Oryzias latipes: one gene and its partner. The protein of the gene in region 1 purifies or fractionates together with the protein of each later gene. This does not show direct contact. Links are inferred from orthologs where the notes say so. Each region holds a gene or a part of one and is shown on either strand. Other genes may lie near its edges. The genes, in order: en1 and transducin-like enhancer protein 1.

Region 1 (4,305 bases):
CAGGCCGCTCTCGGTGATGAACGCCGGCCACATCGAGCGGAGTGAAGACTAATTAAAAGCTATAAATTACCTTTTTGCTGCCCCCCCTCCCTCCTCCCCTCCACTCCTCTTCCTCCCCCCTCAAAGCAGGCCTCTTTGCAGAAGCAGATAAGAGCAGACTGAGAGCTCATTTACCCACAAAGGCGCTGCTGCTAAACTGCGCATTGATACTGTCCTAATTGGAATTTAATTAAGTAGCACTCCGGCCGCTGGGATAAAGATTTAACCAGAGTTAACCATCAACACGTCCCCACTTTCATGCTGTCGCCATTAAGATTATTAATATTATTATTTCAAATTGCCAATTACAACTGGATGCCATTTTTAAACATTTATTAGGCTGAATAGTTTATTACAACCGGGAAACACTCCGTTATTTTTCTATTCTAATTTTTTTTAATCTTTTAGTTTTGTTTATGTAAGATGTTCCATCAGGATAAAAAGGTTTTTAAAAAGCAAAATAAAATTAAATCTAATGTGCAATTAACCCCATTTATAGAAATAAACGTGTAGTGCTTTTAAAATTGACATAGAAATAGAAAAAAAAGAATATCAATATTTTACATAATTCCAAATAATAAAAACATAAAAATTACAACTAGGATGAATGTATTGTAGATAACGAGAAAGCAAATAAAATATACAATTTGTATATATTTTTGACATTGTACACTTTCTGACAGCATCTGTGGGGTTTTTCCCCAACATAATATATATATATATATATATATATATATATATATATATATATATATATATATATATATATATATATATATATATATATATATATATATATGTATATATATGTGTGTGTCATATATATATTATATATAATAAATAATAGGCTAAAGGTCATTGCAAAACAAGCAAAAACATAGTAAAACAACTTTGTGTTCTTAACATTTTTTTTTTTTTTATTTTGAAAAATGTATTTATTTTTTCAAGGCAACATTTTTAACAAAATGAAGTTAAAGGCAACGATGAACATGTTTAGACAAATACAATAAAAATAATTAAAGTGTGGCGTTTTTACGGATTTAAAAACCCTTATTTTTCTTTGCCACCTGACGTGTGTGCCAACTTGCGCACCCCCCCCCCCCACTCCATCCCGCCGATCAACTGTACGCGCGCGTGCTCGCCTTCCTGTGCTCTGATTGGTCGGCGTCGCCTCTGATCTGGACCCTCTCTTTCACCTGATTGGTCTGCAGTGTTACGTGCACACGTGCTTCCGGCTGGGTGTCAGAAAATGAAAATAAAAAAAAGAAGAAGAAGAAGAAGGAGGAAAAAAAAGGGCGGCACGCACGCGCGGGGGGAGATAACGGTTTTTGTGAGGAGCAGATTCAGAGATATTTACGCTGCGGCGGGGAGAAGCCGCGGCACTGCGTCCTGCGTGGATGTCGGCTCTGCCAGCAGACATGTCGCCTCTGTAGGTGATTGTAGAAGCCTGCGCAGACACTTGGGCTTGTTTTTGAATGCTGACCGTCTAAACTGGATACCGAAGAGGGGCGGGAGCAACAAGTGGAGCTTGGCGTGGAGAGGCCGGGATTTCTGCCCCATCACCAGCCATGGAAGAGCGCAAGGAGCCCGGCAGCGGCCGGGATTCCACCGAGGACGAGAGCAGCATGTCGCTGTCGCCGAACCTCCCCTCCCCTGCCGTGATTCTACCCCACCAGGCGGCCCAGCAGCAGCACAGAACCACGAACTTTTTCATAGACAACATCCTCCGGCCGGACTTCGGCTGCAGGAAGGAGCCGGGCTACCGGAGCCAGACGGCGGGCAGAGAGAACGTCAACCCGCTGGGGGCGAGGCCGCACGCCGGCAGCCTCTGCCTGGACTCGAACTGCAGCAGCGACAGCGCCTCGTCGTCGCCCGCCTCGTCGTCGTCCTCGTCGCCGTCGTCCAAGCAGAGCTCGGCGAAGCAGGGCGAGGCGGCGGGCGGCGGGACGGGCAGATACGCGGACAGCCCGTCTTCTATTGTGGTTGTGAGCGGCGGCAACGGAGCGTCTCCGCCGATAACGAAGGAGAGCCAGCCGCTGCTATGGCCCGCCTGGGTTTACTGCACCCGGTACTCGGACCGGCCGTCATCTGGTAAGGCGCTGACAGTCCCGCTGCGGCCCTGCGGACCACTTTGGACCGCTTTCCCACCATTTCCAATCGTTTATTTTCACTTTACAGCGATAATTATTAGGATTTCCATAAAAATACTGTCATGTTTATTTTGTAATGTGTACACACTAAAAACATTAAAATATAGCTTCATAAAAAAATTATAATTTTTTAACTTAAAGTCTTTAAAAAACATTTTTTTTAAATTGTTTGGTTGTGTAAATAAATAAAAGATGGGGGAGAAAAAAATAAAATTTCTGTGGAAATATTAAATTTTTACACATTTGGACTTAGAGCAAAATATTGTTTTAAAATTATTATATTATATCATCTATGCATTTATGTGCAAAAACAAGAAATACGTTTATTTTGATTAATAATTAATAAGAAGGCTATTAACTAAAACAAAGAGTTTCTGAACCTGCATTTTAAAAACTAAACTCTTCTATATTTGAATTTTTATTTCATTTTTGACTCTAATCCAGCTTTGAGGATGTAAAACTTTTTTTTGACCTCACAAGAAAAATTTGCTTTGAAATATACACCAGTGTTGTAAATAAAAGATAAACTAAAGCAAAAAATAAAATAAAATAAACGCACAACTATTGCTTGATTAACTATTTATTGTCATTGTTAAACTAGCATATTACACAATAACATTAAAGTTTTTTATGGTCAGCTTTTGTTTTCATGTTTTAGCCGTTTTTCCTTTATATTAGGTTTATTTTGCCCTTGAATAATACATAATGATAGCAGGATTTTTGTACAAATGAACAAAATAAAAGTACATGACTATAAATCATTAACTTTAATTTGTCTTTTTTAGGTTAAAAAAAGAAAAAATGCATTTATTTTGTTGATGAAATACTTTTGCAATATATGACTTCCATTTATTTATTGAAGCGTTTGAATTCATTTCATTTAATGAATGTCGCTTGTAGTTTCCTTATTTCATTAGTTGTGAGTGAAGGTGCGCCGTCCTCTCCTCTGATTGGCTGATTTGTCTCCCCCTCACCTGTACCTGATTAATTATCAGCCATAAGAATATGAGGAAATAGATAAGCCACTTTGAGACCATTGCAGAGGATGTAATGAAAACACGTGATGGAAAAGTGTTTCTTAAATGACTCTAGATTGAATTGATGACATATTTGTCGCCTCGCGCGCGGCGGAGGAGCGCCTCCCAGCCTGTAAATAAACATTTCATTCCCACTGTTGTTTCCACACCAGGGCCGAGGACACGGAAACTGAAAAAGAAGAAGAACAGCAAGGAGGACAAGCGGCCGCGGACGGCGTTCACGGCCGAGCAGCTGCAGAGACTGAAAACCGAGTTTCAGGCCAACCGGTACATAACGGAGCAGCGGAGACAGTCTCTGGCGCAGGAACTCAACCTGAACGAGTCCCAAATTAAAATCTGGTTCCAGAATAAGCGGGCCAAGATCAAAAAGGCCAGCGGCTACAAGAACGGGCTGGCCCTGCAGCTCATGGCTCAAGGACTTTACAACCATTCAACCACCACCGTGCAGGAGGAGAAGGACGAGAGCGAGTGAGGAGCGCGCGCGCGCGCGCGCAACGGACGCTATTTAAAACGAGACAAAAAAGAGACAGATTTCTGTTTATGTGAACGGTATATGGACATAATTATATAAATGAACGATCGTTATTAAAGTTTATATAGCCACAGTTATCATGTGTTTGGTTTCAGGCGCATCTTCCATCCGGAGCTTTTGTTATTATTTTTTGTTTTTTCTTAAGTATCCCTCATGTTTGCGCCAATTTTTCCCCCCTCAACGAATCAACCCGTTAAGCCAAAGATTTTTAATATGTTCACATGTAGTCTGAAATAAACAAAAAATAAAATAAAAAAGGAAGCAAACGGTCTTTAAAAAAAATCGTTTTTTTTCATGTTTTTTAAATTAAAAAAAAATGTAAACTTTTGTGATGAACATTAATATTAATTTCAAACATTTTTACAAAAACACTTTGGATGGACTTTTGAAACAAATGTAACCAAAAAAAAGAAATACTTATACTAAACGATTTTATTTCAAAAATATTTAATTGACCAATTAAACTGACGTCACGCCTGACCGTTAACCTATAGGGGTCACACAACAGGAAAAAGCCTCGAAAATGAACATTATGAACATTTATGAC
Region 2 (3,822 bases), on another chromosome or scaffold:
TGATTAAATTGCAGAGTGCTATTGATTTTTTTCACTAACTGGTGGCTATGTTTCATTCACGTGTCCTAAGTTTTTGGTGTCAGGTGTTGTTGTGGTTCGCATTTATTTCAGCTAAAGTCTCATGCAGTTACACATGTTGTGCTTGCTATGACTCTGCATATATATGTATATATATATGTATATTTTTTTGAGCTCATCCCACTTTGTTTTCCTTTTTTAACAGCAACAACATCTATCCCATAACCATGGGGGTGCCCCTGTTCCACTAACCCCTCACCCTGCTGGCCTCCATCCCTCCCAGCTGGGTGGTTCAGCGGGTCTTCTCGCTCTATCGGGAGCACTTGGTGCGATTCCTCCCCATCTGGTAGGAAAAGACGGAGATAAAAAGCCTCATCTGTCCGGACCGGACTCACATCCTGCAGCGGCCGAACTCCTTAGAGGTGAGGAGATTTGATGGAAAGAAAAAGTAAAAAACTGTGGATACTATTATTAACCTTTAAAGTTTTGTGTCTTATATCATAGCAACCATGGAAATATGTTAACATACGGGGGGGGGTATATGTAATGCTTTTCCCACTCCCTTTCACGTACTAAAAGTTTTTTGAGTAATTATTTTCAATGTAGCTAATTTTGTATTTTTTTGTTTCTTGTCGTTTGTGGTTTTCCATGTGGCTGAACGTTCTACCCTGTGACCCTAACTGCATCCATGTTTTTCCAATGGCAACAGAGCGAGAGCCCGGCACAGTGAGTAGTTCCTCTTTCTGCCCGTAAAAACTTCCTGTTCTGAACAACAACCGACTTTTCCTTTCTGTTTGTCAGTCAGTGTGGTTTGAATCGTGGGGGCCTGAAGTTTGGTAATACATTTGAGTTTTATTCTTTTGGCTCAGTTGAAAGCACATCTTTGGGGGTTTGAGGACTCAAAGAGCCAAAAAAATTATTGTTGACTGTGAGGCTCAAATACATTTTGTGTCAAATGTAAGTGGCAATCGCCTCACTATTGTTGGAAGTTGTGTTGTCGTGTTGAGTCAACTTTGGTTGAGCACTGTGAAATTAAATGCAAGGAAGGTGAAATCATTATGTATTTATTGTATTTTGTCATGGTGCTAATAAGTTTTAATAAATAACTATTATTGACTCCCTATTCTTCAGTGGTTATTGGAATTTATATTATAATTACATTATGACTACATCACCTGATTAAAAAAAATCTAAGTTAAATTGATTAATATAGCACTGCTTTCATCCTGACATATGTTGTTGAATGCTTGTTTCAGTGCATGTGTGTGTGTGTTTTTGTGTATATCGGGAGTCTCTGGGGTAGGGCTTTGGCCTGCCTGTTTAGTTATGCCCTAGATCTGCTCGGAACTGGTTGGCTTCTTTTCTCCTCCAAATGAGCCTCTTACCATGGTCACAAGTGCCCAAACGTGCGCGCATGCGGGCACACACACACACACATTCACACACAAGCTTGTCCAACCTGGCTTGCATTGTTGTGACTATTTAACACCTCAGTGAGCAGATTACCCCCTCCTCCCATCGCCCCTGATCCTGCGCTTAAAGACTCTCATTGTGTTTAATATCACCACCTCTGGGAGGGGAGGGCTTGAGAAAGGGAGGGAGTGGGGGGTGGGGGGGGGCAGTCATATGACACTGAGCTTGTGTTCATGTGTGAGAGGGGACACACCATGTTAAAAGCGAATGGGGCGGAGCAACGGAGTGCACGATTGCTTATGTTTAGCGGGTCAGTGCGTCTCAGCTCGCTAAAAATTTTCAATGAAGAGGTGGGAGTGAAGTAGGGGGGGGCTTTGACTGGATAAAGATCTCCCACCCACAAGGCTTTTTTTCTCCACCATCCCTCGTCTGTTGTCACCCTTTCTGCCCCTCTGTGCCCTCCCTCCATCTTCTCTGTCCTCCCTCCTCTTTTTTTAAGCCCCCCCTCCCCTCTAGCTGTTCATCCTTCATTTACCCTTTCCCCCTTGAAGTGCTCACTCCCTCGCTGAGTCTGTGCATGCGCATGTGTTTGTGTTTGTTGGATGAACATTTCATTGACAGGCTGAGACTATAATGGACTCAGCATGAAGCTTTAATCCATTAACAAAAGGATTCATTGGTCAGGAGGCCAGAGAGAGATGACTCTGTTTGTGTGCCTGTTTGCTTAGCAGTTGTGTGTGTGTTTGCATGCATGCCTAGTCTTAGGACACTAAAGTGTTATGCAAGTAACACACAACCACAGTCTGTTGCACATGTAATGACACACACACAGGCTTTCACAGACAATTGAACTCCATACACACACACACACACACACACACAATCAGGCTTTAGCTAGCGCGGCTTGTCAGAGCCAGAAGAGGGAGCACTGATAGAGTTTGAGAGCCACTTAATGTAATCATCAACTTCAGAGGCTTCCGTTTGTGTTTAGCTGTGACTGTCTTTGGTCAAGTGTGAAAAGAGGTTGCTGTTAAAATGTTAGTGCTGCTTAATTCATGTCCATGTGAGCTGTTAACTTATTAGCAAGCAAGAGTCTGTTTTTCTAACCTGCTCTGCTGAAAGCTCTTGTAGATAACTGCTGATGGATCTGACCACTTAGTAAGCTCACGCAGATTAAACACACAGTCAGGCAGGAGCTAAACTAAAACCCTTTGCATTTTTAGAATCCCTTCTTTCCTGCAAACCTTTTTTTCTGTTTGCGGTATCTTACCTTTCTTATCTACATCTGTTCTCATTCCTGCAGAGTAACTCGCTGCTGCCGGAAAGTCTTAGGAACTCGGATAAGCGGCGCAATGGGCCAGACTATCAAAACGACAACAAGAAACGTAAGGTGGATGACAAGGACTCCAGTCACTATGTAAGGATTGGGTTTAACTTTGATCTGTCTTGCTTTTAAAGACCTACCCAAATAAAAATCCTTTTTTTTGTGTATTTAATATTTTAAAAAGTTTTCTTACAATGGAGGACATATACAAGAAGATTGCACGTTTGAGTATTTTTTTTTTTAATAATTTAGAATCAAAAGCAAATGAAAAGAAAAAAACAGTTTGATGCTGTTTGAAAAAGTGTGCATTAGTAAAAAATACAATGGGCAGGTTTTGTTTTTTCTCAGCTGGATGGCTATAAACGGCATAATCATAATGAAAAGACCTCTGGGAAGACTTTTATAATAGATCAAAAGTTTATTGGAGTGGGACTTTAAAATAAAGAGGAAAACATTTATTGTTGTGTCTCTAATTTACATTATTCTGTGATTTGCTCCATTAGGATAGTGATGCAGAGAAAAGCGACGACAATTTGGTGGTGGATGTTTCAAATGAGGTCAGTATTTATACTTCTTTTTTTTAATTTGTTGTTCACTTTTGTGCATGTTACTGTGTGTAACTGAATTTTTGTGGGTGTTCTGTAGGATCCTGCTTCGCCGCGTGGGACACCTCTTCCCTCCCCAAGAGAGAATGGGTTGGATAAAGCCCGACTCCTTAAGAAAGACCCCTCCAGTCCAGCCTCCACAGCTTCATCAGCCAGCTCCTCTTCCTTAAAGTCCAAAGAGATGGCGATGGTGAGGACCGCCACTTTTGTGAGTCCTAGTCACTTAGAAAAATATTTAAGGAAAGTCGTCTCCTGTGTGACAGCGAGATAAGGCGGGAACACCTGGACTGAAGTCGAGCACACCCACTCCCAGGGGTGACTCCACACCTGGACCAAGCTCCACACCTGGAATCCGACCAAGTCTCTCAAAACCTTCATCAATGGATATACCTCACCCTCCCAGTTAGTTTGTTTGAGCGTGTTTATTGCAAACTTTATATTTTGGAAAAGCTAACTGGCAGA

What was found.
Region 2: the proteins of en1 (region 1) and transducin-like enhancer protein 1 purify together in Homo sapiens (affinity purification with western blotting; 4 studies listed by BioGRID and IntAct, with this or other methods). This does not show direct contact. The link is inferred for Oryzias latipes from reciprocal best matches to the Homo sapiens genes EN1 and TLE1.

What each region holds. Positions count from the first base shown.
Region 1 is NC_019860.2:18,270,710-18,275,014, reverse strand, and holds en1 (homeobox protein engrailed-1), read left to right. Parts: upstream 1-1,316; 5' UTR 1,317-1,607; coding exon 1,608-2,130; intron 2,131-3,366; coding exon 3,367-3,698; 3' UTR 3,699-4,019; downstream 4,020-4,305. UniProt on the Homo sapiens protein: Required for proper formation of the apical ectodermal ridge and correct dorsal-ventral patterning in the limb.
Region 2 is NC_019867.2:10,627,943-10,631,764, forward strand, and holds part of transducin-like enhancer protein 1, read left to right. Parts: intron 1-223; coding exon 224-440; intron 441-727; coding exon 728-744; intron 745-2,734; coding exon 2,735-2,848; intron 2,849-3,258; coding exon 3,259-3,312; intron 3,313-3,400; coding exon 3,401-3,550; intron 3,551-3,623; coding exon 3,624-3,762; intron 3,763-3,822. UniProt on the Homo sapiens protein: Transcriptional corepressor that binds to a number of transcription factors. Inhibits NF-kappa-B-regulated gene expression. Inhibits the transcriptional activation mediated by FOXA2, and by CTNNB1 and TCF family members in Wnt signaling.